Linked DNA regions of Xenopus tropicalis. The protein of the gene in region 1 purifies or fractionates together with the protein of each later gene. This does not show direct contact. Links are inferred from orthologs where the notes say so. Each region holds a gene or a part of one and is shown in the gene's direction. Other genes may lie near its edges. The genes, in order: pex1 and pex26.

Evidence for each region.
Region 2: the proteins of pex1 (region 1) and pex26 purify together in Homo sapiens (affinity purification with western blotting; 3 studies listed by BioGRID and IntAct, with this or other methods). This does not show direct contact. The link is inferred for Xenopus tropicalis from reciprocal best matches to the Homo sapiens genes PEX1 and PEX26.

The regions. Positions count from the first base shown.
Region 1 is NC_030682.2:31,796,509-31,800,239, forward strand, and holds part of pex1 (peroxisome biogenesis factor 1), read left to right. Parts: coding exon 1-104; intron 105-539; coding exon 540-767; intron 768-2,591; coding exon 2,592-2,783; intron 2,784-3,731. UniProt on the Homo sapiens protein: Component of the PEX1-PEX6 AAA ATPase complex, a protein dislocase complex that mediates the ATP-dependent extraction of the PEX5 receptor from peroxisomal membranes, an essential step for PEX5 recycling.
Region 2 is NC_030679.2:8,465,441-8,469,734, forward strand, and holds the start of pex26 (peroxisome assembly protein 26), read left to right. Parts: upstream 1-1,412; 5' UTR 1,413-1,444; coding exon 1,445-1,485; exon of another isoform or gene 1,486-1,495; intron 1,496-1,694; coding exon 1,695-1,907; intron 1,908-2,682; coding exon 2,683-2,823; intron 2,824-3,129; coding exon 3,130-3,446; intron 3,447-4,294. UniProt on the Homo sapiens protein: Peroxisomal docking factor that anchors PEX1 and PEX6 to peroxisome membranes. PEX26 is therefore required for the formation of the PEX1-PEX6 AAA ATPase complex, a complex that mediates the extraction of the PEX5 receptor from peroxisomal membrane.

The DNA.
Region 1 (3,731 bases):
TTGCCTCTCTGACGGATTACTTCACAGGAGCGGATCTTAAAGCCTTGCTGTATAACGCTCAGCTGGAGGCAATTCATACTAACCTGTCGGTAACCGTTCCTCAGGTATAAGCATCTGCATGATTCATTTTCTCTGTGGTACTTATGGGCCCTTTATAATGAAAAGCCTTTTATACTTATGGCCCCCCTTATAATCAAAAGTCTTTTATACTGATGGGCCCCTCTTAATAATAATAAAAAGCCTGTTATTTAGGTGGGCTTGGTATCATAAATTTGTTTATACAGATTAGACCATGTGTATTGGGAAAAGCTTTTGGCAGAAGAGGCACAGCCCCAAGCTATGAATCCTGCTAGCTCTTGCCCAGCACTAGGTCTGTAATAGAAATAAGGTGAGTTAGTGAGCTGCTATTTGTCAGTCATATGAAACATGCCCAGATGTCTCTGTACTTTAGATGATGTTTAAAAAATAATTCAACTTGCATTTTACATTTTTCCTTTTCCAATACTATTTTAATGCATTGTTTCCTTCTGATGTTTCAGGACAACAATTCTGGATCTGACAGTGATATGAGCTTGTCTTCCATAATATTCCTGAACCACAGCAGTGCTTCTGATGACTCGGGAGGAGACCAAGATAGTGTTCTAGATCACTCTTTACCCTCCTTGGATATGATAAAGCTTCCCATCGAAGACATTCATTCCAGCATGTGGCGTCTTTACTTTGGAAATTCATATGATTCAGACCTTGGAAACGGCAGTTCAGAACAGGTGATTTCCTAAGATTATTACAGACTGGCTATGCAAGCTGTTTCCCTATGGCTCAGTGGATGTCCTGCATTATTTTCTATGTAGATTAGGTCAGTTTCCACTTTATTAATCCATGTCACCAGAATCAAGTTATTATCAGCTAGTTTACAGTAAAAAAAAGTGTGAAGATAATTAGGCAGAGTCCATGTTGCATGCAAATACACATTTTATCCCTCAGATCATTTGTATTGAATCCTAATAGTATTTCCTGGGATACTGTTGTCCCAGCCCCATTGTGTACCACAAAACGTTAAATTCAGGGTGACAGCTGTATTTAGACCTTGCTTTCTGTATGGGTGACCCAAGCTTTCCCATGGGAAGCTGTGACTGTTACTATCTGTTGTGCTGTTCATCTTCCTCTAGAATGAATTAATAATTGTCTTTTTCCAGTTCAGCATGCAGCATGCAAAGTATCAATTTAAAAGTCTTTATAACATGACGCCTTTATTTGGGTTATACTACAAGTATGCAATGACAAGCAATATTTTTGTAAGATTTTCTACTTAGGTTTGATTAAAATATCATTTTAAGGCCACTATAGCTCATACTTAACTCTGGTTTGTTGTGGTATTAAGTTAACTGTGCTGCTTTTCTTGCTTTTCGTGCCCATTTTGTATTGCACTGAAGCATTAAAGGAGAAGAAAAGGTATAATCACTGGGGGATGCCTAATGTTAGGCACACCCCAGCGATTATATTTCTTTACATAAAACCCCTGGCCCGTTCTCCTGTTAGCTGAAAACTGCACCAGCCAGGGGTACTTTCATAGGAGCACCACATCACAACCTTCTCCCAACTCTTCATTCTTCTTTGTGGCCCTGGGCCACATGCTCAGTAAAAAAAGCTGAGTTTTTCCTTTTAAATTCTGCTTTTAATCCCACTGTACATGTGCACCTGGAACTTGTAAGAGATTTAAGAATATGAGTGCAGTTTTCAGTTAATAAAAGCACTGACTTTGGGGTCACCGGTAGGAATTATGATCAGATTTACTCTATATGCATTTTTGAGCAGTTTGAAATTGGGGTGATCAGTTTTAAAACATTTACACAAGCTTCCTTTATATAGTAGTTTATGGCAGATTGTTTGCATTCATATAGTGTAGTGCAGGGGTTCCTAGGTCAGAACACCGTGTTATCTGCAGTACATATCTATTCACAGGGTGGTGGGCTGGGGGCATTATGTGGGAAACTCCTTGGACACTCCCAAGTTTGCACATAATTCAGACAAACAATCTAGGGAGCAGTGATATGAGCTTGTCTTCCATAATATTCCTAAACCACAGAAGTGATTCTGATGACTCGGGAGGAGACCAAGATAGTGTTCTAGATCACTCTTTACCCTCCTTGGATATGATAAAGCATCCCATCGAAGACATTCATTCCAGCATGTGGCGTCTTTACTTTCACAGGGTGGTGGGCTGGGGGCATTATGTAGGAAACTCCTTGGATACTCCCAAGTTTGCGCATTATTCAGACAAGCAATCTAGGGAGCACCAATGGGTGTAAGATGCACTTTCCACCTGCCTATGGCAGGCATTATTTGCAGGGTTGTGTTGCGCTTTTCAAGTGTTGTTCACTAAAGCATGTCTAATGTGTAAAGAATTTTAAAATCGCATTAATAAATTATAAACTATTATATCTAAATGAATTTTGTGTTTTTTTAAATAAACCATCTTTGGGTTAAAATGTGTATTTCTGGCAACCTCTTGCAAACGTTTACATTTCCACTATCAATATGTACAGATGTATAGGAACAGATGTAACAGCTCTCTTCAATTGTCTTTACAGACTTCCCAGAGCTTTTCTGGAAGCAATTCCATTACACATGAGTTTACTGGCCCGACTATAGGAGAATTAGTGCCTTCACAACCTCTAGTGTTTATAAGCAGCTCACCAGAAGATCACCAGCAACACAGTCAGGAACAATGTCAGAAAGTAGATGATGAGATCAGTGTACCCAAGGCCAACTGCATGAATGTGGTATAATGTTACATATTCTTCTGTTACATTCCCTACCCACATCTATCTTAAATGCTATTGGGCTTTGCAGTATAGATGCCCGTAGAAGAGAGTCCTGTAAATATATTTTTTTAGACCTTTCTTTTATCTGTTATCCCACATATGTTTGCTCTGCTCTGTAAAACCCATCACAAATTATATTAAGGGGCTCCTTCACATGGTCTGGTTAGTAATTCATTCATCCTAAATTGTGAAATGCTGTAATTACTAACAAAATATTTACATTAATTTCTCCTGTGAGGGTGCAGTTATATATATGTGTTTAGAACATTCACCCTAATGTGAGACCTGCATTTATTGTGGTTTTAAGGGGTTGTTCACCATTAAATTCAATTTTAGTATGTTGTAGACAGTGATATTATAAGACAGTTTGCAATTGGTTTTCATTTTTTATTTTTGTGTTTAGCTTTTTGGGGGTTTTTTTTTGTTTTTTTTAGCTATTTAGCTTTTTGTTTGGAATTTCAGCATCTCTCTGGTTGCTACAGTCTTGTTTAACTTAGCAACCAGGCAGTGGTTTACATGAGAGACTGGAATATGAATAGGGACTGAATAGAATAAGTAAAAAAAAAAAAAAAGTAACCGTAATTATCCAATTGTAAGATCACAGAGCAAATGTTTTTTTAAAAGCTGAAAAGATGTAGAAGTGTAAGTGAAATAACTGTAAAATAATAAATGAAGACCAGATGCAAAGTTGCTAGGATTAGGACATTCTATAACATAGTAAAAGTTAACATAAAGGTCAACCACCTCTTTAATACATACAGAACTTACACTGTTCTGTTACATTGGGTGCCGGGTGCCTCAGTTAAGGCAGTTAGTTCATACTCATAATATTAACTGATGATATGTAAAGAAGGAGCCTCGCCATAAGCTCTGCAGGCATGTATTATTGTATATGTACAGAAAAAT
Region 2 (4,294 bases), on another chromosome or scaffold:
CAGGTACTGTTTTATTATTACAGAGAAAAGGGAATCATTTAACCATGAAATAAACCCAATAGGGCTGTTCTGCCCCCAATAAGGGGTAATTATATCTTAGTTGGGATCAAGTACAGGTACTGTTTTATTATTACAGAGAAAAGGGAATCATTTAACCATTAAATAAACCCAATAGGGCTGTTCTGCCCCCAATAAGGGGTAATTATATCTTAGTTGGGATCAAGTACAGGTACTGTTTTATTATTACAGAGAAAAGGGAATCATTTAACCATTAAATAAACCCAATAGGGCTGTTCTGCCCCCAATAAGGAGTAATTATATCTTAGTTGGGATCAAGTACAAGTTACTGTTTTATTAATACATTTTTAAAAATTAGAACTATTTGGTAATAATGGAGTCTATGGGAGATGGCCTTAAATTCGGAACTTTCTGGATAACGGGTTTCCGGATAAGGGATCCCATACCTGTATTTGGTCTTCTTTTTTTTATTATTTGTGGTTTTTGTATTATTTAGCTTTTTGTTCAGCAGATCTCCAACAGGTATCTGGTTGCTAGGGTCCAAATGAACCTAGCAACCAGGCAGGGGTTTGAATGGGAGGGATATGAATAGGAAATGGGCTAAACAATAACTAATAAGACAATAAAATTGTAAAACCAGAACAATAGTTTTTGGCTGCTGGGGGTCAGTGACCCCCTTTTGAAAACTGGAAAGAATCAGAAGAAGGCAAATAATTCAAAAACTATAAGGAATACAAAATGAAGACCAATTGCTATGTGGTTGTTAGGACTTGATTACCCTAGCAACAAGGGAGCAGTTTGGAAGATCAATAGCAGAGCCTGAAACAAATTAAATTGAACCTGTACAGTACCGATTCAGTGAACTATATGTGGGCAAAGCTGACCTGCACCTAAGGTGGCAATTGTTTGGGCCAAACCTGCCCCCACACAATAGTACCCCCTCTTTCTCCCTGACAACAGGAGAAGGGTATGGCACAATAGAGATTGGCAGAATGGCAGACCCAGCCATAGCATGGCACCAGCTAAAACACAAGGCTCTGCCTCATACACACTTTAAAAAACAAAGCAGTATATTGTTTTATTTAGATATTAAGTTTTCCTTTCAGTAAGGGCCCCTCCCCTTCCCCACACAACTGCCCCTGCTACACTGCTATCCCTCTGTGTCTTTGCCACAACTCCATACGAAGTACTCGGCCTATCGTTTGCAAGGATACTGTCACATGGTTCTGCGACCCAATCAGATCCTTAGCAGGCATTGAGCTAGAACTTCCGGTCTGTGGAGCTTATGCGTTCCACCTGTCAGTGTGTCACAGTCAGAACTTCCGGTCTGTGGAGCTTATGCGTTCCACCTGTCCGTGTGTAAATGTCAGAAAGGTGCAGTTGTAATAGTGGAATTGTGGGTGAGGGGTGGACCTATGTTGTGTTTATGGCAAGGGGGGAATGCTGTTCTGTTCTGGGACTAATTCAGTGAGATAAGGTTTTGCTGTCTGTCCAGTCTGTGCTCTTTAACCTGTAATAACTGTGTGCAGGAAGTGTATTATTATTTAGGGGGAGGACATATTGCAGGGCAGGGAAGGTTGGTTACAGTAAAGTGTGGGGGCTTAGACGTAAAGACACTAAAAAAAACTCTCTTTCGTACGCAATATTAAATTGTACATGTTCTCTTCCCTTGTTAGCAGGAACCCCATGGCAGTTGCAGAAAATGTGTCCAGCTGTTCGCTAAGCGCTATGTGGGATTGGTCGCATCTGTCATTGTCTGGGACCCCCCCTGCCGTGCCGCTGTTGGACGCAGCTGCCGACCTGCTGGTGCTGGAGAGAAACTTTGCAGCTTCCCTTGGAATCTGTGAGAGAGGCCTACAGATCCTGTCTGCTGAACCAACAGATGCAAAGTGAGTTGCTTTGAGTTCCCTTTCTCTCATCACAAAGTGTATAGAAGTAATGGGGAAGCACTCACCCCAAATCTCCCCCTAACTGGCCTTCAGGTTGGGCCCCCTTAGCCCATAACAAGGTTACAGATATATAGAAACATTGGGGTAACAGTCACCCCGCTATAGTTCCAGGGGTACCCAGGGCACAAATAAGCACTCACCCCAAATCCCCCCCTAACTGGCCTTCAGGCTGGGCCCCCTTAGCCCATAACAAGGTTACAGATATATAGAAACATTGGGGTAACAGTCACCCTGCTATAGTTCCAGGGGTACCCAGGGCACAAATAAGCACTCACCCCAAATCTCCCCCCTAACTGGCCTTCAGGCTGGGCCCCCTTAGACCATAACAAGGTTACAGATATATAGAAACACTGGGGTAACAGTCACCCTGCTATAGTTCCAGGGGTACCCAGGGCACAAATAAGCACTCACCCCAAATCCCCCCCTAACTGGCCTTCAGGCTGGGCCCCCTTAGCCCATAACAAGGTTACAGATATATAGAAACATTGGGGTAACAGTCACCCTGCTATAGTTCCAGGGGTACCCAGGGCACAAATAAGCACTCACCCCAAATCCCCCCCTAACTGGCCTTCAGGCTGGGCCCCCCCTTAGCTTCAAGGAGTTTACCTTTACCTTAACTTTTAGAATGCTGTAAACAGTTTTGTTCTGAGACTATTTGCAGTTTTTGATTTGTTTATTATTTAATGTTCAGTCTGACGTGTCCTTTATCCTTGAGGTGTGAGCAGGTGAAGACGTCTCTCTGTGTCGTTGCGATTCAGTGTCTGGTTGAGTTGGGAAGATGGAGGGAAGTGCTTCCTTGGCTAATTCAGTATTACCAAACCCCACAGGAGATGCCTTACAATATTATGGAGATGTGGTGAGTGAGTATATCATATATCAAGCCTTTCCTTACTATAAGCGCTGCTTTTGTCGTAGACTTTAGATTGCAGTCTGCATCATGGTAGAATTGGGGTCTTGGTTTAGATTGTACTTTTAACACTAAATAAATTGAGCTTGCCATGTAGTTTTGAGGGGCTTCTTCCGCCAGTCCAGAAACATACAGGTAGGGGGCATTAATACATTAATATCCCTTGTGCCTACACTGATATTAAATGTATATACTGCCCCCTGATCCCTAAACGTCTGTATATTTTCATTGTATTCTCTTTTTTTTTTTTTTTAGCATTTTGTTGTATGGGAAGGTAAAGCAGCCACAAGTTATGCTGGAAGTAAGTAGTGATTGGTTGCAAGTCCAAGCCAATCGGCTACTGCCAAACTGCTGCAGGGTTGCAGAGCTCCATCTGCTGCACATACTACTACCCCTGGGGCTGTTTTCTGATGCTGAAGTGCTGGCTCAGGATTCGGATGTATTCACGGAAAAGCAGAGGCACATAGCCTTGGCGCTTGTGAGCGAACACAGGAGACAGTGGGAAGAGTATGAAGCTGCTGCCGCTACAGAGAGGGACGAGCACAGCCAATCAGAGTCAATGGGACGAACTGGTATGAACATTCCTGCCAATCAGATCCACCCATACTGTGAACACTTGCACTGCAGCCCCGGCAGACTGTCTGTAGAAGAGTCTACAATTGCAGCAGTTGGGTCGTAAAAACACAGATAGGTGGCCATACACGTAAAGATCCGCTCACCTGGCAAGGTCGCCAAGCGAGCAGATCTTCTCCCAATATCCCCACCTACAGGTGGGTAATATCGGGTGAATTAAGCTAATTCAGTTGTTTGGCCCTGGGGCCAAACAATCAAATTATAACGACTGGAATAGGCGCAGTTAGTTCGGGGACCGCATCAACGAGCCGATGCGGTCCCCGATCTGACTAAATTTTTTAACCTGCCCGATCGATATCTGCCCGATTTCAGGCCAGATGTTGGTCAGGCAGGCCAGATGTTGGTCAGGCAGGCCAGATGTTGGTCAGGCAGGCCAGATGTTGGTCAGGCAGGCCAGATGTCGTTCAGGCAGGCCAGATGTTGTTTCCCCTACACGGGCCGATAACCTGCCGAATCGGTCCATATCGGCAGCTACAATCGGCCTGTGTATGGGCACCTTAAGAGACTGTGCAATTTTGAATGAGTATTTAAACCCGTTTATTGCTGGGCAGCAGTGAATCGGTGGGTAGGCTAGGGCATTTCCCAGTCCTGTTCACATAGATGGTTGCAAGCTCTGAAAAGCAAATGTTTGACCTGAATAATGGTGCCCATAGGCGAAGCCATAGGGTGGTGGGGAGGGTGGGCTGCTGGTTGCCCATTGTTGCCTTTCTAACCTGCCCAAGTGTACCACCATCCCATCATGTATAATAATAGTAACATAGTAAGTTAGATTGAAAAAAGACACCCA